Linked DNA regions of Struthio camelus. The protein of the gene in region 2 purifies or fractionates together with the protein of the main gene of each other region. This does not show direct contact. Links are inferred from orthologs where the notes say so. Each region holds a gene or a part of one and is shown on either strand. Other genes may lie near its edges.

The links.
Region 1: the proteins of LZTR1 (region 2) and RIT1 purify together in Homo sapiens (affinity purification with mass spectrometry; 3 studies listed by BioGRID and IntAct, counting the BioPlex papers as one, with this or other methods). This does not show direct contact. The link is inferred for Struthio camelus from reciprocal best matches to the Homo sapiens genes LZTR1 and RIT1.

What each region holds. Positions count from the first base shown.
Region 1 is NC_090971.1:3,976,362-3,988,426, reverse strand, and holds the start of RIT1 (GTP-binding protein Rit1), read right to left. Parts: upstream 5,996-12,065; 5' UTR 5,967-5,995; coding exon 5,873-5,966; intron 5,469-5,872; exon of another isoform or gene 5,432-5,468; coding exon of another isoform or gene 5,359-5,431; coding exon 5,302-5,358; intron 4,340-5,301; coding exon of another isoform or gene 4,288-4,339; coding exon 4,214-4,287; intron 3,729-4,213; coding exon 3,537-3,728; intron 2,488-3,536; coding exon 2,257-2,487; 3' UTR 1-2,256. Other genes in the region: KHDC4 (KH homology domain-containing protein 4), read right to left, coding at 7,781-7,980, 8,979-9,070, 9,659-9,771, 10,969-11,124, 11,570-11,823, 12,047-12,065.
Region 2 is NC_090965.1:3,045,989-3,057,738, reverse strand, and holds the start of LZTR1 (leucine-zipper-like transcriptional regulator 1), read right to left. Parts: upstream 5,384-11,750; 5' UTR 5,346-5,383; coding exon 5,170-5,345; intron 5,088-5,169; coding exon 5,025-5,087; intron 4,933-5,024; coding exon 4,876-4,932; intron 4,539-4,875; coding exon 4,459-4,538; intron 4,074-4,458; coding exon 3,965-4,073; intron 3,108-3,964; coding exon 3,024-3,107; intron 1,459-3,023; coding exon 1,401-1,458; intron 731-1,400; coding exon 591-730; intron 1-590. Other genes in the region: IPO9 (importin-9), read right to left, coding at 9,857-9,967, 10,542-10,618, 11,422-11,523. UniProt on the Homo sapiens protein: Substrate-specific adapter of a BCR (BTB-CUL3-RBX1) E3 ubiquitin-protein ligase complex that mediates ubiquitination of Ras (K-Ras/KRAS, N-Ras/NRAS and H-Ras/HRAS).

The DNA.
Region 1 (12,065 bases), on a different chromosome or scaffold from region 2:
AAAACTTCAAACGTAGGTAACTGACTAATATGTTAAAATTACGTATCAAGGAAAAGCAGGGGGAAAACTTGTCATCACGATTGGGCCTCTGTTTAACATTTCCAGAAAGCTGGTTTGGAATAATTTCTGTAACGACATAACTAGCCACTGAGCAGCATCTTAGTTGTCGTCCCCTCCTTCTCCTCAAAATTTCTGTTAGATAAAGATCCTAGGGAAACTAGCTAAGAGTTATAGACAGCATATAATCCGACAATGAATGACTAATAGGGCCTTAAGTTCTAAACTAATAACTGTGGAACAGATGCGCGCACCTGCTCACACAGTTACTTCAAAAGAGGTCTTACATTCTAAACATTCCAAATTATTCTTAACTTCTTTTTCAATTGGCATTTGTGAAATTATTACTAGCGCAGCATAACACTGGAGCTTTGGAAGTGAGAAACAGAAACCAATTTAAATGTTTAGTTCAGGTACAAATGTAATACAAAAAAAAAAAAAAATACTCCCCCTCCACATTTCTTGCCATAAAACGTTTCTGATTTTACACAAATAAAATATTCTTAAAAGCACCAGGCTTAGGATTTCCAGTGGCATCCTAAGTACTACAGAGTTTAGCAAGAAAGCGTAACGGTTTATACATTTGCTATCCTTGCTTCTTCTACTCGATCCTTTTTACACATGAACTTAAGTAGCTTCGTTTTGAATTTTGACTGCACTAGCATATGCAGCAGGCTAAGACTGACATTACAGATTTTATTTCTGATCAATGATATCAGCATAATTACCGACAAGGATGATCGAAGATTAGAAGCTATACTACATTTAGAGTCAATTTAAGCTCTTTTGTCCTTAAACTGAAAGATTTTAGGCACTTAATTTTGGTTATTTTAACCATGTCTGAGTTGCCTCACTGTGATTCATTATATTATTAAAAAACAAAATCAAAATAACACCCCTCTGTCACGTGATCTTTTTGCATTTGGACACCAGCTCTGGATTTAAATTCTAGAGCTGATGTATCATCTCAAAGCAGAACCATGATTTACTGAGCATACAGAAAAATCTCTGAATGCACTGACTGGACTGTATACATAGGTAAGGTCAGAGACGTGAGTTATCTGTCAGGACTGCCACTGTGGCCAGCTAATTGTTTTCTTCCGCTGGATCACCAATTCTACTCTTTTAAGAGCGTACTGGAAGAATCCTAACAGAATTAGGGATATTAACTCCGGGCCCAAATACCTGCAATACTCGGTTTCAGTCATCATCTTTACAAAGCAGTTGTTAGAGTAATTTGAAATGACTGTATTAGAGATTTCTACCTAACAAGGATACTGGCTCCTTTAAGAAAATAATGTTAAATTCAATGTAAATAAATAAGCCACCACACCATTACAGCTATGATTTTAACACACAAGTCAGAAAACTCAAAGCTGTAATTTCTAGCGCAACTACAGCATCATTATATCACGCACGCTATGGCAACACAATAAACGCTATATACAGTAGGAAAACGCTACATATTCATGCGTTGTTGCCAAGCTACAGCTGCCATAGGAACCATAACTTATTTTTTCTGACTTGTTTAGAATCCCAACTGCTTTAACGGTGAAAAATTAAGATAAACTTGTGTATTCCACGTTACTTGTGTATTAAGCTTGCGTATTCCACATTACTTACTTTTGCTGGAAAAAGTCTATTCAATGAGAACACAAGAATCCTACACTGACATCTATATATAACCTAGGCTGTTAGTCGCGACACGTGCTTTGTAAGCTACTTTTCAGCATGACCTCGACAAGCCGTCTCTCGTGATGTGGGTTACCGTTCCAAAAAGCAGCAAAATTTTGTTGTGCAAACAACTAGGAGAAAAAAAAATGAATTAAGTTAGGCTGGGAAGGAGTTTAACACTATTTTAAACAATTCAGCTTCCAGTATGCAGTGACCAAAGATGAACGTCCAAAAGTGCAGGGACACAAACCTATCAGCATTTGTAACCAACAACATGTGAGTAACGTTTGTTGGATCCAGTCAAAAACAACAACAAATAAAAGTAAAATCATTGCTGTGTCATGAGTTAAAAGATCCAAAATTAAGGGAATATCATTTTAAACAGAAGTAATCGGTAAATATTATGCCCTCCCTGATAAAAGTCCCAGCAGATTTAAAACATCCTGTCAAAATGTTGTCCCTAAGCCGCTTTGGTTACAAATGGCTGTTCACAGATTTTGTTTCATTTTGCAGAATTTTCTCTGTTCAAGTGACTGAATCCTTCTTCCTTCTAAATGGTGACTTTAGTCTTTTCCACACGCTGCTTTTAGGTTTGGATTTTTTTTCCATTGCCATTACTGCTTCTTTTTCTTTCCTACGGATTTCTCGCACAAGAGCATGAAATACATCATCAATATAGTAACGGTATGCAGCTGAAGTTTCAAAAAAAGGGCAGTTGAATTCTCGTGCTAAAGCAGAGCCTTCTTCTTTGGAGACCTTAAAAAAAAAAGTTCATATTTGTTAACAAAGCCAAAAAACCCAAAGTCTATTTCTTTACCTTTTCTTGTCCTGCTTACTTCATAATTGTGCGTGCAGCCTCCCAGTCCCAGAACAGCTCGGTTCCACTGATCTCTAAATCTTTCTCTACAAATCCATTTTTCTTGTTCCTTCACTCACCACTTCTCTAGAAACGCAATCAACTATGAGAGATTCTCTGAACAGGGCAGCTCTGGTCATTTATGAAACAACAACATCCGTTCAAAGAACATCACTTCCTTGGAGCTTAATCTAGAGGTTGCTTAATTTGAGCAGCCCTCAGCCCTAACACAAGCAGTTGTCAGTCAGTTCAATTCAGGGTTTCCTTCTGCTGGCCAGCACCCAATGCTTTTGTCAAATACTTCTTCCCAGAACTGAGCAAATGCTTTCCAAGGAAAGAGTTTTACGTAAGTCATGCAAAAGCACTGACTACCCATTCTACACACTAAACCTCTTAGCGCGGGTGTTCTACTGTAACTACTGTAATTTTCCTGCTGCTATGCACGCTGAAAACTCACTTAATTCCAGGTATACAAACACTACCTCTAGAACTTGTTTTCCAGATTACTTTTCCTTCCAGTGAAGCTCTGCTTCAGACTGTGTTTTCTCCACAGACAGTATTTACTGTTTCCTTAAGCTGAATCTCATTTTCCTTTCTGCCCCTTCTTATTGGAGTTCCTCATTATTACCCCCCTCTATTCTTAGCATACTTGCATCTATTTCATTTGTACTACTATTTGCAAGTGGCTTATGGGATGCTAAATCTTTATTAATAGACACTATTGCCTTTCAGGAATTATTAAACAAACAAACAAAAAACTAATAGCAATGGAAAACTAAGGTATCAAGTAGAGGACCTTACTTTTGCAATTACTACATGTATTTGCTCATTCAACATGTCCCAGATTCAACAAGTACTTTTACTAAATTAAGTTTACTACATAGCAAGCATACACAATTTAAGAAAGGGAACATCACCTCTTTTATTACTGTATTTTTGTGCCATTTACCTGCCGCAGCTGTGTCAGATCAGATTTATTTCCCACCAGGACCACAGGAGTGTCATCAGTACGCCGAACACGATAAATAAGCTGTTTGAACTCACGTACTTCATGGAAACTGCGTCGGTCGGTGATCGAGTAACAGATGATAAATCCCTCACCAGCCCTCATGTACTGGTCTCTCATGGCTGTAAACTCTGCCTAGAAACAGACGATTACGTTTCAGTTGCACAAATACAATGACTTCTAATTCGCTCACATCAGAGGAAACATTCCAAAGCATTCCAAAATAGCTGGACAGAAACTTTGCAAATAAGCTGGTTATCTATCTTCTTGTCCTGCTACATATGAGACAAGATATTATGCACATTTGGGATTAATGCTCAGTTTCCCTTGCTACAGGAATCACTTAAAAATGTCATTTATCAGGCAACATATATGGTTTGTAGAGCATGAATGGCAAAGATACAATGAAGAAAGCAAGATATGAAACAAGGATACCATTTGGACTACCTAGATACAGACAGTATGATGCAGACGCTATAAACAATGGGATACATGCAAGAAAAAAAGAAAGCTCATAAAATCAATCATACTGCATCACAAGCATACTGTTACAGGGTCTCTATGTATGGCCACTACAGACTTCTAAAACCCTCCCAATTCACTTCTTATTAGTCACATACCTGTCCTGCTGTGTCCAAGATATCCAGATTTGCAGGTTCATCATCAATGCGTATTCGTATTTTATAAGCGTCCTCTTTGAATTCACAATACATTAGGAAGAACAAAGTTGGAATACAATTGCAGTCCTCATTAGTCATGAATACAGGAAAAGTGTTACACAAAAAGGACTTCGTCAGGTAATATTACTACACTAAATTAGCCCGCTCTACACGTACAACAAAACAAAATATAACTGCTCAAGTATTATTTAGTATCCCATCCAGCTGCGTGCTAAAATTATTGCACCTGCTACTTCTGATAGGCAAGTGAAAACATCCTTTAAGTTCAATCTTGCACACCTTTGTGGAAAGCACAAGGTAGGAGCATTGCATTTTTCTCAAAGCCAGAAAATACCCACTGACTCAATAAAAGAATTATAATGGCCACCACCACCAACTGCCACTTTCTTAGAAGTGACACAATTTTCTGTTCCTCTAAACCAGTATTCTCACACTGAAACAGTCTGCTTTCAACAAGAATTTAGCTATTTTTCCTGCTTTTCCTTTGAAAGAGTAATTGTTGGCTAAGGTTTCTTTTAGAGATGCTGAAGAAACCAGTCACAGAAGATATGCAGCAATACAGTAAGCAGCTGAGCGTTTTCATCCCTTCCAAGTTAACTGGAAGTTTCTCAAACGCAGAGCACACTTTGGCCTGACAAACGCGGGGAATAGCAGAGAACTGACCTACGTTATGGAGACTTGATTTCTTGAATAGACTGCCAACAATTACCCATCAGCAGTTTTTTTTTTTTATCCTTGTCCACCAACACACAAACGCAGGTAATACATAGCCTGAATATAATAAACTTTAACGGTATACTCAATAGGGAAAACACTAATGATCGAAAACTCAGGATATGCTTCTCAGTCCTGACGGCAGTCTCAGAACTACTAACTCCTTAAATTAGTAGTCTAAGGGATTTTGAGCCCTCAATTTAGAGTCAAATTTATGACCTTCTTTAAATTAAGCACTTTAAAGCAATAGCTTCCACAGTAGCTTAATCTGGAGAGGGAGGGAACAGGAAAGGGAAAAGAGAGATTTTTCTCACCAATTGTGGGATCATGGTCCTCTGGAAATCGGTGACTGATAAACTGCATGGTCATGGCTGGAAACAAAAATTGGAGACTCTTACAGTCTTGGCAAACATCCACCACCTCATCGTTCAGTTCACAACACATTTAGGCACGTTATTTCACTAACAGCTAAAACATAAAGCTGACAGAGAAAAAAAACAGACTGAGCCCGAGACTGGAAAGAAACGTAACAGATGAAGCGCCGCTCAGAAACAACCGAGAACCATGCCCTCGACCACAGCGCCGCAAGTTTCCAGAAACAAAGCTGGAAACGCGGAAGATGATGACACAACCGCACGCTGGAGCCACCCCCGGGGCACCGGAACAGCGCGGCAACCCGAGCTGCTCTGCTGACGAACGCTGCTTCTCCTCAGCGCTCCTGCCCCCGGGCTGCCTGCTGGACGCAGCTGAGGCACAAGCGGCGGCACCGGCGGGAGCGGCAGCAGGACCGTCCCGCCCAGCCGGGTCTAACGGCCGCCGCTCGCGCCTCCCCCTCAGGCGCCGGATCGCCCCGTCCCGCCCCACCCGGGGGGGGCCCGCACGCACCGCTCTTGCCGACGCCGCCGGCGCCCAGCATCACCAGCTTGTACTCGCGGGACTGCCCGGGAGCGCCGACGCCCGGGCGGGCTCCAGCGTCCATCTCCTCAGCGCCGAGGGAACCAGCCGCCGCTTGAGGTAAGAGAAGAGCGTGAGCAACAGCCCCCCCCCCCACACACACACACCCACCCACCCCCGCCCCGCTCGGCTCCGCCCCGCCGCGCGCCACCCGCCCGCCTCACCACCACAGCCGGGACGTCAGACTCCTCCGCGCCGCATCCTCCCGGCCGCCCGCGCGGACGGACGGGGCCAGGGCGGGAGCCGGACCGACCCGCCGCCGCCGCCGCTTCGGCCCTGCTCGGAGCCGAGGCAGCGAAACCAAAATGGCGGCGGCTCCTGCTTCACCGCGAGCGAGCGCCCGGCGCCCCGCCCCCCACCGGCCACACCCCTCCGGGTTAGCCCCGCCCCCGCCAGCGGGAGAGGGCGGAGCCTCCCGCCCCTGGCCCCGCCCCGCCCCGCCCCGCCCGGAGGCTTTCTTCCCCCTCCCCGCGGGCACGTACTACTACTAATTATCTTTTTAAAACATTAAGGCAAACAGCAGGCCATAGGGGTCTGTTCCCATTAAACTTAAACGTCAAGGGGGGGGGGGAAGCAGCAAGAAGCAGAATATTTATACATTTATTTATAATGAAAGTATGGTTCTAATTATTTACAACACGTAGGAAAGAGCGTATGTTTATACAGGTGAGCCAGCAAGGTCCTCCAGTGTGCATAAAGGACACACCTTCCCGTTTCTCAAACTATTACTCCTGTCTTAAAAGTTGACCAGCACCTCTTCACAGTCCCACGCTCCAGTGGATGCACACATCATTGTTCTCAAAAACAAAAAAAAAAAAAGGAAAAAAGAAAGAAAAAAAAGTTCTGCAACAGCCAACAGCCTGCCCTGGCAGGAAAGGCCGTGATGCAGCGCGTGTCCATAAGCAATCCAACAGCTTAATTCAGAGGTTCCACTTCTGTGCTCCAATGCAATAACAACGCTTGCACTCGGGTCTCTGGCAATGTATACACCAGGTTGCTGCATTTCTTTGTTAAACCACCATGAAACAAAACTGGTAGAATCAAATAAGTGAATGAATTAAGAGTGAGAGAATCTTGGGAGAACCTCATGAGAAGTACTTCCATTTGAACTGCTGAATGGAATGAAATGTACAGGGATAATTTGAAAAGATTAAGTACCATGGATAAAGTACCAAGTCCACCTAGGGAGTAGCGGCAAGATGAACTGATTAAAAAAACTGAGCGTTTTTTTTCCCCCCCCCGATGACATTTAGCTAGAACCAAGAGTTATGGAGTTAGTAGAAAACACGTTTAAAAAAAGAAATGCTGAATTACAGGAGATGCTTAAAGTAAAAACAAATTAGGAATTTTAGGAAGCGTGATCCCCAAATTTTTCAAAACTACTGAATGTTCCTTTCTTTGTTGAAAGTCCAAACATTGAATCCGTGGTCAGCATTAGCTCAATGGGACTGCAAACAAGCTGACAGCAGGAACACTGGATAAGATACGAACACCAGATGTATAATGAAGTCAGCATTGCTGGCTCTTTCCGTTTAAGTTATCCTGGAAAGATGGGGAGCACAGGGAGAGACAGGCTTCCCTAGCTTCTCCTTATAGTACTTCCCCCATTTTATAAGGGACTTCCCATGCCAAAATAGTATTTCAAGTATTTCTCATCATTGACAAATCCACCGCAGGAACAAGGATTTAAAAAATAATGGAGCCCTTTCAAGAGGGAATACTGAAGCTTTAGCTTCTGCAAATGTAAAAACAATGCGTATTTGCAAAGTTCATTGTTTAATATACATGCATTATTGCTAGAGGGAAAAAAAAAGACATATGAAAATTGTTCTGTAGCCTTTATGGTGCCATCCAAAATGGCATCTGTTGTTTAGCTCGCTGTTGTGAAGAAGGGTACTGGTATCCCAAACTCCATCCCTGTGAAAAAGTACTTGCATTTTTATGGCCACCATGTTCCTCCTCTTCATCTGATGAATCTCCAGCATATGCCACCAATCCAAACCCCTTTTCTGCAGTTTTCATCTTCTTAGCTTGATGATCTAGGAGGGGAAAACAAAACAACCAAACCCCAAGAAAAAAAAAAAACAAAAAGAAAAAAAAGAAAGAAAAAGAGAGATAAAATTCCCCCAAACAAGTTAATTAAAAAAAAAGTTAATTGTAAATTGTTAGTTGGACACCATTTTGAGGTCACAAGGCCAATGGTCACCCAAGGTCGAAGGCCACACGAAACAGCACCAGCAACAGCACATGTGATCCATCAGAACCATGTAAGAGAACAGAGAAAGAAGAAAGAAACACACAAAAAAGGTAAAGTTAGCAAATGGGTCTAAGCGGTAGCAATTTCACCGTTAAAGAGATAACTATGTAAGAAAAGTAGAAATTTTGTTCAAAAGAAATTTAACAGAAGAGCAATCTCTGGGACCAATACTGCAGAAAAACTAAGGTTAAAACAGACTAACGTGACGGGCCTGCAGACCTAATGTGAAGGCGCTATTCAACTACTAGGAGATGTAGTGATCACGTGTTTCCCTCAAGTTACAAATAATTGATGTATGAAAGCCCTATGAAAGGATGAACTCTAACAACACTTCTGTTGTTTGCAGGCAAGGTGGACATAACTCATGTCTATAAATGCACACCTGAACCGTAACTCCCACAGATGTTCCTTAGTGCCTCTAGAGACAGCCTTCACAATGTAAAGCCACGTGATATCTGTGTTACAAAACAACCCCATGAGATTGTGCCTCAGTGGACTGAGAGGACAAGAATCCCAGTCTTTTCTCCTCCACTTAATCACCTCCTCACATCTTCCATAACAATACTTTTTAAAGTATATAAAGTTTTAAGAGAAGCACCATGTGTGTATAGTCAAAGTGAACACATATGATTTTTTGAGCAGTGGAATATGACCTCTCTTTCACTTAAAAACACACTGTAAAGAAAAAAACCCACCAATTTGTTTAAATCTATGTAAAGATCAGAGCAAACTTGTCAAGTTCGCTTTTCCACATAAATCTGTTTTATTCACTACACTCACCATGGTTGCCTGGTAAAGACCCCGCGCCATTTCTTTCTTCAGATTCCGATTTCATCCCAGTGACAGGAAAAGCTGGTGGAGGCATCAACTGCCTGTTTAAACCAGTGCAAGTACTTATTATTTCTAAAACAAGCATAGAGTCAAAGGTCGTTTTATTTTTAGGCAGTCTGCATTGCTTTACAGTGCAAACAGAAATCAGTCCCTGAGTGGAGTGGTTTAACTTTTAGTTGCTCTCATTGCATTTGGTTTAAAAAAGAAAAAAAAAAAAAATCAGGATGACAGATTAAAAACGGATAAAGGTTGCAGCAAATAGAATGTGTGGTTCCCTTTTATACACAGCATCTCAAAATCTCAAACTTAATGTGCATAGACAAAAACGTGAAATATGGGATAAGGTACAGTTTGAGCTAAAACTCTTGACAGAGTAATCAAGTTACATGATGATCCTTAAGAAACAGTCTCTTAGATGAATTTGGGACATCTATCACTGGCTCTGTAGCTGAATCTCCTTGTTATTGCCAGTTCTCTCATCCCTTAGGGGCTGTAAAAACCACAGGTCAGCTTTGAAAACTCCCCACATGAGTAATAATACAACTTTCATATTTCACCCTACCTCTTATATTTTAAGAAAAGCTTTTCTTCAGAATCAAAGATCCGATCATAATCCTTTCATCACTTACCTGTCCCTCTCTCTCTCCTTTCCTGAGGAACTTGCTGGCTTCGATCCTGCTCCATCGATTTCACTCTGACTGGAGAAGCCTGTACCTAAATTAGTCATATGAATGGGTCCATGCTATGAGCAGAAAAACACACGGCATTAGCAAATCTACAACTATAACATAAGCTATAGCTCCTTAACGATAATGATAGGAAACCCAACTTTTCAGAGTATATTGCCAACTATAGAACAAGTTAAGTAGTTCCTGACTACTTAGCAGCCACCAAAAAAACGTAAGCTGGCTATTAAAGATATGGAAGAAGCTACTAATTGCCAGTTTTAAACAAAATGCTTTGTCCTACTAATACTGAAAAAGCTAATCTGGTGCTCAGGCATGTTTCCAGCTAAGATGGAAGAGACCTCATTGACTAGTCCATCTTCCCAGTAGTTCAGGACAGAGAGCAAGTCAAATTTACGAACTAAGCAGCTACCTCCTCAATCAGCTAATTCTCTATGGTATTTAGACCTTACGCCACAATAAACTCTGCTGAGACACTAATATTACATCTTATATATAGGCAGTTACTTATTTTCTCTAGGCAAATCTTTTACTAAGGGTTTCTGCCTAAGGCCAGTTAGGTAAAATTCCACAACGACAGTTTAGAACGATGAGGTGGAGAGCATGGCAGGGAAGGGGAGCCTGCAGGAAGAGGGAAAGGAACTCCCTTTTACTAATATACAAGTCTGAAGAAAAACTCAAAGTTACTTTATTAAAGAAAATAAACAAAAAAGCCTACAGCTGTATTAAAAAAAAAAAAACCCACCATACACACCACACACACACTTTGGCTATCTAAAAAGCCCAGCCCATTAAAATTAGGCTTCTTGTAATCCTCTCAAGTGCACCCTGCAGGGAAAGGTAGCTGGAAAATCTAGAGGTAACCACTACATTCACTTCCCCCTCCCCAACAAGCCCACTGACAAGGCCCACAAACAAACAAAACCCCCAAATAACCTCCCCCTAAACTAACCATTGACACCCTATTGTCATCTCTTTGGCCTGAAGGGACTGCTTATCTTCATGAAAGAATGCAGGTAAAGAAAGCAAGCTACCAATGAATCAAATAAGGGACTGTTTAAAAACAGTGCATCTGCTCAAAGAAACTGAAGTGTGGTATCTCCAGATTTCTTAACAATTACTACCATCTGCCAAAAGTCTTGCACCTCTGTTTTTAAAAAAAAAAAAAAAAAAAAAAAAAACAAACACTGACGACCCCTCTCTAGCAAAGTTTGGTTTTGGCGTTGGAAGTAAAATTGCTGATTTTATTCCACCTGATATCCCAGCAGTCCTGATTCTCTTTCATCTGGTAGCTCCTCAGTGAAGCGTCTCTTTTGACCTTGGGAGTGGGGCTGGACTTGTGGCTGTGTACCAGCAGGCAAGGTTGTTTTTACTGGGGCAGCAGGAAGAAAAGGACCACTCAGTGGACTCTGGTATGCAGAAGTTAAAAAAAGAAAAAGAAAGAAAAAACAAAGTATAAATTCAATGTGCAGATTCATATATAGCATCAGAATACACATTTAGTTTATAGAATGCTTCCACCTTAAAGCAGTCACTATATGTAATTCAAGCTCATTTTACCTACATAACGGTATCACAGTCAGCAATAACACTTTTCATAAATGAGTGATTTCACCCCAAACATCCTTTATGTTAATAGGTAGCTCAAAAAAATGCAATAAGCAGCAGCCATAGCAGCAATTTAGTTCCTTAGATAATAAGAGCATGAGCAAAGCCATAACCAGAGAAATTGTTTATGCATGCCCAAAAGAAGAATTTCTTGACCTATAACTGCTTTAAGTATTTCATTGTTAGTAAAGAAACAGCTTAGTAAGCTGACAACTATACACCCAAGTAATTTATCTGTGGCACTACCTGGCCAGTGCTGGCTGGAGGCTGTACTTGAGATATTGGATATTGTGTTGGCACAGGTGGAACTCCTGTAGGCAATGTTGTTAAGACTCCCGGTGCCAATGGTACTGCAGGTGGTACTATGCCTGGTACACCATACGGTGGCTGAACCGGTTGTTGAGGAGGGGGAACGACAGGATAACCAGACTGATAACCATTTGAAGGATAATACGATGGCTGAGAAGGTACACTGTTTATAGCAGCAGGTTGTGCAAAGCCTGGTGGGTGGGGGAGGGGGGGAAAGGGAGGGGGTTACTTTCAGTTCAGTTAAATTCACAAAAACGTTAAATTTATTACCAAATGTAAAAGCAATTGTGCTGCTTTTCAATTAAAGGCATAAACAGAAAGACTTCTACATGTCAAGAACTCTACAAAACCTAACTCTAAGTACAGTGCCACAGACAACACAACTCTAAAGACTTGGTTATTGCTAGCGTTTACCTGCTAAAGGTACTGCAGT
Region 2 (11,750 bases):
GCAAGAAACTTCTTTAACAGTTCCGCTAAAGACACTACCAGGAACTGAATGAGAAAAATCATTAGCTACAGCAATGCATTAGTTGTGCATGTCAGATATGTAATAGGATTTCTGAACAGATAAGGTACCCTTTCCCCAAGTGTGATGCTTCAAAATGATATCTTTATTGAAATCACTCAGTTTACCTAATTTCAAAAGATATCGTCCATTCTGTACAGTTCCCAATGGTTTCAGTATGAACTGGTATTACACAGGACCTCCCAAAAATTGTTTTTAATCAAGTATGTACACAATGACTTTTAGTAACATAATATTCGGCTTCCAGTTCTGAATAAACTGAGATCAATCGTTATTACGTAAAGTGAATCTACAGGACTTCCTGTACTTCTGTCAAAAAACAGAGAAAATACATGGCAAACTACAAAATCTCATTAAAATAGTTCTTTTTATCTTATTTGAACTGGAAACTATCTACCTTTCTCAGTCATGAGATTTAGTATTCTTCCTCAATACTTTTAAGTACTTGCATTTCTCAGTTCAAGTAGTCAAGGATTATGAGGATATTGTTTGACTTAATTGTCTACACTTACATTTTTTCCTTGAATTCAAACTGAAAGAGATTATTGGTAATCTTTGCTCCACTCTGGCCAGAAAAAACAAACATCTTGTCTTTGCAAACAGCTACAGGAAAATTACAGCATGAAGGAGGGATCTCACCACTTTGCTCAATCTGAAAGATAACAAAGTTCAAAAAAAATAAATCGGTTTTCTCTTTGGAGTGTGAAATGCTAGATTTTCTCTCTACTAGCAGAAGATGACACCCAAAGTGTCAAAACAAACCAAGTATTTTTGTAGTGCAAAGCTACGCATGTTGAAGTATGCTGTAACCCATGTAATACAGCAGATAAAGACAGACCACATAGTAGCAATCCTTCCAGACAATCAAGACCCCATAAATTTGTCTAAAGTTAATTAACTAATGCTGCGCCTGCACATCTGCACAAACTAATTTTACCAAAGAAAAAGAAAGGCTAGAAGGGTGTACTTTTAAAGCTCCTGACGCTGTAAGGATCACGACTCTGATCTTGATAGCTAGTGAGCAAAGTTTCCAGTCTACGGCAGTGACTGAAGTGGGAAATGCAGTCCTTTTTTCATAAGTGGCATAAAAAAAAGTCCACTATTGGCAGACTAGGTCCTGCTCACATATTCAGAAGCAAAATCATACTTTCATACACACCTCATTCTCTGGACAAACAAAAAACAAATTTGAACACTGTTTCTTTTCATGCGTGTGACATATATAATGGAGAGAAATATGATCTAACATAGTAAATTTTAAATGAACGTATATGAAAATTAAAAAAGGAAATTCTGTGTTATTTCACCTTTAAGCTTCTTACCTCTTCCCAACACGTCAGCTCTCTGTCCTGTAGGCCAATCGTCCACATATCATTTAACCTAAATTATAACAAAAAATACCTGATTTGAAACCGTTTATTGGTGGTTATTTTTAGCTTATGGAGTTGAAAGGACAAAACACATATTTCATCAGCATTCCTCCTCCTGCACAGGAAAAATCTGCTATTTCTCCTAGCAGAGAAACCTATTGGAATATTTTTGTCCTACACCTAAAGCTTATACCACCATCTATCATCTCCTATAAGCCTCCTTCAGCATCCTTCTGGTTGGTTGTGTGCTACAGTTGACAACTATAAACTGCAACTCTGCCTGGAGCTTAAGGATTTGAAAATTTAATCTTGGAGATTTTTACAGAAATTCCCCTTATTATCCTGCTTTCTTTCACCTACTCTTTCACTTACACCTACACCTAAGCCCTGATACCGACCACAGTAATTAGTTATGTGGCTGAATCCTGCCTCAAATACATAAAAGGATGAAAAGGGTAACCTGACACTTCACTGACTACTGCATAGGACTCTGCTGTTTCCAGTACAAGTTACTCGCAGACGATCACAAACATTTCTTTAGTTGAAATCTGCCTGGAGGTGCCTCTTCCACAAAAACATATTTTTAACACGATCTTGGTAAAATAGATAGCTCCTCTCACCCAATCCCACCTTTCAGCTATCCAAGGTCCTTGGGGAATTCCTTAAGCTGGAACTAAGCAACTCCACAGACTCATTCATCTTTCTCAAATTCCTCTTCTAGAAATAAAGAAAAGATCCCATATGCTTTTTCCATATGCATTGCAAAATGTCCACAAAAATTTCCATTTAACTGCAGCTCTCCTGGAGACTGTGAGGAGCTGGTATCTTTTTTCCAGATTCTCATCGGAAGAAAAGGCAGCCCAGTAAGTTGACGCACCTCCTAGTTCATGCTGATTTCTGTATGCTTTGCTGATGCAAATACTGTGCATGATCATAAGAAACTTCTCATCTTCACCAAGATAGAAAAAAAAAAATGCCTGTGCAGAACTGATTCTTCCCCAAGGGACTGATAGCAACAGTGAAGAACTTGCCATCTGGAACAAAGCACCAGAATTCTCCCTAACTTCTCAGCACCACTCACTTCCAGTCTTTTCTTATCCAAAATCTCATCTGCCTTAGAAGCAAACAAGTCTGTCATCTCAGTGCAATATCCCACCAGAAGTGCCACATGTTTTCAGAGGAAAAGCTGGCATATTGTTTTCAGTTCCATCATAGGACTTCACAGAAAAACCCTGCTTTTTTCCTCAAAGCTTGTAGCAACATCAGAAGGCCTGTGGCATATTGGAAAATGCTCACTTGCCAAATCCAAAGATCACTTAGCATCCTCGCAATCAAGCAGGTGATCAGTTTATGCATCCTCAAACATTCCGAGTCACCAGCTTTTTAATGTATACTTATGTGAACATGAGCCAGTGAATTGCAAAGGTCTACAATGCTCATCAATAAGCTAGGCTTCGCAAAGCTCTAGTTATGTGTTTAAAACACTTGGAATAGGAAAACATCTCTACGGAAGTGAAAAGTGAGTGACTGGGATGTTACAAAAGGGACCAAGGAGAGAGTGATGCCGTTACTTACCGCGCATTGCCATCATATCCTGCAAAGATCCACAGCTTGTCGCTATACACTGTTGCACCATGAGCTGACCTCGCAACTGGCAATCTGCAATTGAGGAGATTTAAAAATAATTAAAAAAAAAAATCTTAACTGACCAGGAAAGGTGCTATAAGGATCTGCATCATAGCTAAAACACACATTTCACAAGAATAAAAGCTCCCTATATTAAATGCCTTCAAGCTAGGAAATTGCTACTGTCATACACTGTCAAAGCACACAAGAAGAAGCCCTTGTCCAGGGCTGCAGAACTTTACACTCTGCTTCCTTCATGAGAAAAAATTATCTCAAAAAACCAAAAAAAATCCAATGAATTCCTTGCCAATCTTCAAACGTTCTTAAGTATTTTTTGAAAGCTGGCTAAATTGTAGAGGACAATATCATTGTCATTATGGCGAAGTGGCAATTTACATGCGATAAAATAATCCTACGTGTATTTTCACCTACTAAGAAGGTGGAATGCATAAATGAGATCAGGGTCAGAGCTCACAATATATTTTTGGGATCGTTTAGTCATAGCATTCATGAGATACAGTGCCACAATAAAAAATCAATCCTATGATTTCTTCTCCCTAATTTGTGTTGTTTTTACCAAATCAATCAAGAAGTGCTGTACAAAACTGTGACGCCACAAGTCCAGGAGACATAACGTTAGCTTGTTTGAGAAGGTAGTGGTCATTTATGCAGTATGCAGACCTGCAGCTGCGGGGAAAAGCACAGCTTTTAAATGTGCTGAATTTTTAAATGTTCTTATTGATTCTTTACAATCAATGTAAAGGACTGTGCACAGTCCTAGCACTTTAATACTAACAGTGTAACTATTTGTAACTATGTGCTACTGTAAGTACTTGCTGAGTAACACCCAAGTCCCCTTGAAGAGCGGGGCAATGATGCCAGCTCCTTACCTGCCTTCAGTCTTCCACTCTGTCCATTGTCCAGTTGCAAATTTATATTCAAAAAGATCGTTTTTATTCTTCAAGTTGGAATTGGAATAAATGTCTCCAGTATAGCCACCTGGGCAATAACAATTTTATTAGACTATTTCAAGAGAGCATATATACTTGTAGTCAATATATTAGAAGAAATTTAAGTTTACGTCACTCAAACAAAAGTTATTTGACTGCTGGAACGCTAAACATGGGAGGCTTGTCCTCCAACCTTACTTCTATCCCTAAAGAAATGCTACGGCACTGAGCTTCAAGTTTTCTTTACCTTAGACAAAAGAGTAAAGCTATTTCAAAGCTAAGGTCCAAATCACAGTCAACCACGAAAAACACCAGCTTTCCTATTGAATGAGATCCTCTTGACGCTCTGTAGGAAACACCTTGCTCTGTTTTAAGAGAGGACAGACACATCTATCGTCCCAAGGGCACGCAGCTGTAACCTGCCGCTGTCTTACCAAACACAAACATGCTGCTCCCATAGACCACAGCCGAATGGTGGTATCGCGGTGCTGGCGGCGTCCCCGTGGTAAAAGCCCTGTGCAACAGTTAGAACAGTGGCAATCAAACAACACTGTCGCGCTTCGGGCATTCAAAGCTGCTGTGCGGGTTCAACGCGGAAACAGGCGTTAAGAGTTATTCTACCGGTCGCGAGGGGGCATTTTCACTCTTTTTGGTTTAACTACGTGACCTAAGATCTGGTGCTAGACTAAGAGTGGTAAATAAAAGCTGCATGCTGGGGCCGGGGGGCTCGCCCTCCGCGAGGGGCTGTGCAGAGCCCCCAGCCGTTACACCCAGCATAACGGCGCCGCGGGGGGACGAGGCGTCTCGCAGCCGCGCGGGGCGGCAGAGGGCCGGGGCGCAGCGCGGCCCACCTGCACCAGGAGCAGTCCTTCACGTCGAAGCGCAGCAGGTCGTTCAGCATCGTCTTCCTGCGGGAGGGACGGGAGAGGCGGCTGAGGGGGGGGGGGGCGGCGCGGCGGCCCCGGCGGCCCCGCTCCCCTCGGCCCCGCCGCGGCCTTACCCGTTGTCGCCGCCGAAGACGTAGATGGCGTCCCGGTAGGCCACCACGGTGTGCTTGCTGCGCCTGCGGGCGGCAGAGAGCGGCGGTCAGGAGCCGCCGGGACCCACCACCACCCCCCGCCGCCGCCGCCGCCGCCGCCGCTCACCGGGCCCCCACGAACTCGTCGCAGGGCGGGAGGCGGCGCCACCGGTGCACCGTCTCGAAGGGCCCGAAGTTGAGGGTGAGGTACTCGACGCTGTCCGAGCAGCTGTGGTCGAAGTCCACGCTCGGCGCCACCTTGGAGCGCCCCGCGCCGCCCGACGGCGCCCCGGCCGCCGCCATGGCCCGCGCCAGCCCCGCCGCCGCGCACCAACCGGCGAGCCCGCCCGCCGCGGGACTACAGCTCCCGGCGTGCCCCGCGACTACAGCGCCCGGCTTGGCTCGTCCTCCCGCCGCGGGACTACAGCTCCCGGCGTGCCCCGCGACTACAGCGCCCGGCTTGGCTCGTCCTCCCGCCGCGGGACTACAGCTCCCGGCGTGCCCCGCGACTACAGCGCCCGGCTTGGCTCGTCCTCCCGCCGCGGGACTACAGCTCCCGGCGTGCCCCGCGACTACAGCGCCCGGCTTGGCTCTACCGCCCGCCCCGCGGCTACAGCGCCTGGCACGGCCGTTCCCTCCGCCGCGGGACTACAGCTCCCGGCGTGCCCCGCTCCGGGGCGGGGGGCGCACCTAGGCAGCACGTAGCGGCGGGTTCAAGTCCCACGCCCGCAGGACCAAGGGTGGGCAGGTGGGTGGACCCGCAGCGCTCCAGCCTGCTCCTGGCACGGCAGGGAAGGAGCCGCACGCACCTTGCCAGCTTCTCAAGGGGTCCCGAAAGTCATTTTCCTCATTCAGTCCAGCAGCCTGGGCTCCACAGGGGCCAGAAGGCCACCCAGGCCTGCTCTGGTGCCCTATAGCAACCCCACGCCGCAGGCGGGATTCATGCGAGGTGGCCGCACGCACAGGCGGCGCAGTCACAGTGCCCAGCTGCTGGCCCAGCTTTGGAGAACAAGGGCCTAAAACACCTTAACCAGCTCTGTGCGCTGCAAGAGTCAAACCCCAAAGAGGCAAAACACCCTTCGAAGCAGGGCGTCAGGCCTGGCCCGGCCCGGGATGCCAGATTGGCGCAGCTGAGGGTGCTCTCCCTCCTCGTTACCAATCTCTGTAAGACTCGGAGGCAAGGCACGCTTATACATTAAAAGATTTTATTAATACAAAAAAATACCAAGAACAATACTCATGAATAGGCGTAAAGTCTCCATCCAGAGTCACAGCTGATTGAGTCACTATTTAAATTATATTCTGTGGCTATCGGACCTTCATGCTATTCTAGCAAGATAAAACCCAGTGTGCAAAAACACAATTGGCATCTCCTCCGCGAGGAGCTTTGACAAGGATGCAAAAGTGCCAGGCACTGATTTCGGAAGTGGCAAAGGCTCATGGATGTCCAGTAGTAGCCTCAGTCCCATCCTTCTTTTTAACTAAGTATAAAAGGGAGCTTGGTTTTCATAACATGGAGTTAGTAACCTTTAGTGAGGGTTAGTTTAGTTTCTTTTCACAGTACACAAGTAAAATGGGCATTCCACATCTCAACACTAGACCTTAGACAGCTTTCCAGACATTTCACCGTATTTCATCCTGAGCAATTACCTCACGCTACTGGCTCAGATTTATTTCAGCAAAGCCGATGACCCTCCAGTCATCACTTGTTTAAAGATATATAGTGTCACATTCTGAGAATTTTTAAAGGGAGGAAGAGAACACAGGGAAAGCAGAAGGCAAAGGAGTAACATCAGTACAGGCACCCATGGGACCACTTAAGGCTCTTTCAACCATCTCCATCATGCACTGTAGCTCTCATCCTTTATTCAGCCTCTCTCCTATGGGAAGCTCAAGTCAGTATATTTCTTGCCTGAAAGCGTCCTGCACGCTGTGAGTTTGCTTGCAGTGGAGCACCCGCTGTAGACAAACTAGGCTGTTCCTGTTCCCCTTGACCCACAACACGCAGACAGGCCCAGGATCATCTCAAAGGCTGCTCCCAAACTGAATTTTAAATCAGCACTCTTGCATAGTGGCACTGCACTTGGTCAGCTCATTCTGCTGGAAGGGGCCCAGGTGGGTGCACATGAACCAAATGCAACAGGAAGGACAGTGCAGAGCACTAGTTCCCAAAGAGCCACCATTTCCCCCCCCCACTCCTTCCCATCTCACTGGTTGCACTCCTGGAAAGAGCAAGCCCTTGATACCTGCAAATCAAAGAGCAGCTTCTAACCAATGCACTGAAGAGCTCCGATAGGAACTCTGTAAGAAACTGCCCATCACTTACTCACGGGACCCTGCAAATCCAAAGAAATCCTTAGATACAACTCAGGATGAGGAATGGTGCTAAGCTGCACCCATTTTTCATGTTTTTGCTTAAACTCGTCATCCAACTTGATGCACCTTAAGGGTGCATAAAGCAAGTACAGTTAAGGCACACGAGTCAACTTCCAACTGAAAGCACATGAACCCTACCAGCCCCTCTCCACAAAGCCCTAACGAGCCAGACAAGTATGTGGTCCATTTCTTACCGATGCCTAAAGCACATCCAGGTGCTTTCAAGTGTTAGGTATCCACTTACCTCAAACAATGAATGACTATTTTCAAGTTCTGCTGTCAGTTCCTGGGGTAAAGTATTTGATAGCCCTTCTTAATTTTGTAACTTGCAATGAAAATTTAGATTTGGTCTTCACTCTTCTGTTCCATTGACTTACAAACTGTTTTCATGCAGTACAGGCCCATTCCGATATTCAGGGGAGGAATGTCAGCTAGCAAACATGGTCCTGTCTCTTCTCTCAGCTGGGACTGGTCACTCAGTTGATCCTTTTGTACAGCTATCAGGCACTGCAGCCATCTATTTCTCAGTTTCCTCATGAGACTGCACTGCTTAGTTTAACTTGTCAGCCCATTTCAATGAAAGCTATGAGACACACGTACCTCGAACAAAATTCCTAGAAGACTTGGCGGGGAGGGGGAGACTAGAGAGGAGACAGAGCCACAGCAGAGCGCACACTGAAGGGAAGGCCATGGCACAAAATTGAATTAGTTTTATACACCAGAGAACCGACAGGGAAGAAAAATTGAGACTCAACTGCATGGAAACTTTCCAGAGCTCATACCTTTAGAATTAGACACAGACTAATCCAAAGCCACAAAAAATAAAATCAGGCTTCATAAATTCTACTTGCCATGGAGTTATTCATAGAAAACTACTGAGAAATCAAAGATGGGACAGATCAATCTACAGGCATGTAGCAAGACGTGTGGGATTCCCTCTATTTCTGCTTGTTCTTAGGCACAACATGAGGGCTTTAGGCATGAGAGGGGAAGCAATGTCAGCTTTAGAATTTAGTGTTATTTTACCATTATCCCACATATGCTAAACAAATTGTGTTGTGCCATCTTTGTTCATTTAAAAAAAGTAATTCATCACCCCCTGCTGGTAAGAAAAGTGAAAAGCCATACGGTAAATTAGACCAGTAAGATGCATACATATTCCAGCTCTTTGGAAGCTTTTAAATACAACTTCAAAGCATTTTATTCCACAAAGGAACAGCAAGTACCTTTCTTAAGAAAGGAAACTCTATAATGGATCACTCTTTCTTTTAAGCAGAAGATGATGTAACCATTACAGGACTCCCTTTCTGTCCAGATGACTCCTGTGAAATACCCTAACAACCTCCAGGTGGCACATATAGGAGATCTCCTAAGGAGAAATATGTCTTAAAAAGCAATTTCGGGAAACAAGTGCAATTTCCTTTCAACTCTGTCTTATAAGAAGGATACCAATGTATATTTTAATAGTTTTATTTTAATTTTCCCCAAGGGGGAACCAAAGGCAGAGAGGTGTTGTGAGATACATCACGCTGTTCTTATGGGTAAATCAATTTGTAAATGTTATTTTACCACTCTATAAAAATACACACAGGAGTGTGAAGGAAGCAAAGTAGATCAGAGTGGCTGTTATGGAGCAAATGCATTAAATATAATCAGATTTTCCCCCTAAAAATTGTGGCTCCTTGTGTTCCATAAAACCAAAGTCTTTAGTAGCCACATGCCACAGGAACAGAAATTAAGTGGTAGCTTCCTTTAAGCATGTGCACACAAAAGCATTAGTAAAGAACTGCTCCCATGGGACTAGAGAGTAGATGTGAGCAACAAAGCTCCATCCACACTAGGAAAGAAGATATGCAGTTATTTTTATTGTCTCAGCTTCCCATCCAAACTCCTGTAAACAGGTTCCATACCATTCAGGCATCTCTGATAAAAGAGTCTATAGTTCTATAAAAAGAAGTCACACTGTAAGATCCAGATATTTACCCTGTATGTGTTATGTGAGCACAAAGAGGAACAACCTTCCAATTTCAAGACACATCCAAGCAATTTGTAAGTGACCTGATTCCTTTCTCTGTCCATCTGTGCTGTGTGAAATTCAGTTTAAGTGCCTCTTGACAGGCAGAGACAGTTTGCTTTTAAAAATATTTAAGGACACATTCTTTTAAGAACTTCCTGGAACATTACTGTGGAAAATGAAAGTGCTCCCTTGGTGAGATTAATGTGCAAAGCTCTACAGACTTCCGTCTTTGCTGCTTGCTTAGTATTCCTTCCCTTAGCAGATTCATGATAAGATGAGGCTCAATACTTCGCAATGAGGCCCATCATCCACCTGTAACAAGCAGGTGGACACTGGAAAATGTTTCATGTTTAATCATAAAACGTGGAATAAGCCAGAAAAATATTGTTCAGATATGATCAGTATGGTCTCTTGATTGGGTTTATATACCAATGGCCTGTAACACTCGCTTTTCATTCTCATTGAGATGGTCTGAAAACATTGCATAGCACGGCTGCTGTGCAAACTGACACAGGAAGTCAGTGAGATAGGCCTAAAAAGAAGACAAAAAGATCAAGTTAGCATTGCTTCACTTTGGAAATTCTGTTTCTTTCGTGTATCAAAAGGTAAAACTAACATACACCAAATAAAACAAAGGCAATACAGGGAACGTGGAGAAGGGATGCAGAAGGACGGGAGGCAGCAGAGGGGAAAGGCTGGTAAACAGCTTCCAGGTGGTGTTAAAAAGCAGGGTCAAAGTATTGCCCAGGAACTGTGACTGGATAGGAGCACCTCCAAGTGGAACATTCAAGTTCTGTAACGTTCAGTCTCCACCAGCTTTTGATCTCATCAAAGAGCTACGAGGAGCCTCAACCCCTGCCCACAAAGGGTCGTTGATTCACATTTCCAAATTATAGATATTGCTACAATAAGAAACAATGGCTCAGGGCGTTCTTTGGATACTCAGCACTTCCCAAAGCAATTTCAATAAACTGAGTACATTCAGGACAACAATCGTTATCCGGTGTCAGCGGTGTTTCGCAGTTTTGTTCAAGTACAATATAAAAAATAAAATTTATAGAAAATGATAGAAATCAGATAAAAAAAGAATCATTCTAGAGCATCACCTGGAGATCTATTTGGTAAAGAGGGTCCTTTAATGCATCTGGATCGTCCTCTTCATCATCTTCATAGTAATCTTCATCTGTCAGAGATAAATCAGCAGGTTTTAACATTGAACAGATCAAAATATTTCAGGAAGCATCCTATTAGACTATTGCTAAGATCTAAGGCTCCCCAGGAGCGCTGAAACCATTTGCGTAAGAAGTCCTGTATCCAAAATATATTCCCTTATATATTTAAAATATTCCCTTATGTTTACACGGTTAAACCCCTCCCCCCCCGCCCAAAACAAGAAGGGTCACAGTGGGAGTTTCAAGGAATGCACAGGTGAGACTAGCACACAAGAGATACTGCACGAGTTTGTCGTTAGTTACGTGCACTCATGCCACATTTGCATTTCTGTACTGCTGCTAAAGTACTCCTTTATTGTATTACCCTGTGAGGTTCTCTAAGATTATATGCAACCTGGAGAGCTGAGGAAAGGAGGTATTATACTCACTCCCTGTTCTTTCTACAGCAATTATTTCTCAAGATCACCCTACAAACAAGTTCATCCACTGCTCTGGCACTGTCATTTCAAGGTCGCATCTACATCCTTGAGCAATTTTCTCTTTAAAAGAGATATTTGCATGAACCTCAAAAAAAAATGAAGGTCTACATAGTTTTTGAACTCGCCATGTGGAAAAAGCGGTTAATCAATCATAAGTGTAATTCAAGGACATGTCCCTCTTTTCCAGAAAGAGACCCTTATTCAAAATCCCAGTGTAATATTCCCTTCCTTGCCTGCAGTCTCTGTTGAGCTGCTGTCAAGAAAAGGTAACTTTCAGAGTAGAATGCCATCTAGTCTATTCTATTTTTGAGTAGCACTTTAAAGCTGTAACTTACCATACTTGTTTGTGGAAAGAATATCTGATAAGAACTGTCCTGCTAAGCTTTCATCTTCATCCTCATCTTCTTCTTGATCCTCCCACATATCATTCGAATCATCTGTTTAGAAAACAAACATTTCTAGAAGATAAGCAAAATCCAACAAGTCAGCCCGTCAATCACCCCTGTAAGGGACTCTACAGCTTTTAGGCAAGCCTCCCTGCTTGTTTATGTGGGTCCAGAGAAACGCACACAACCGTTAATATTCTTTTGGAATGAGTGGTTCACAATAGCTAGAACTGGCAAAAGGAAGCTGCAAGAAAGTATGGCCAAAGTAGGGAGGAAGG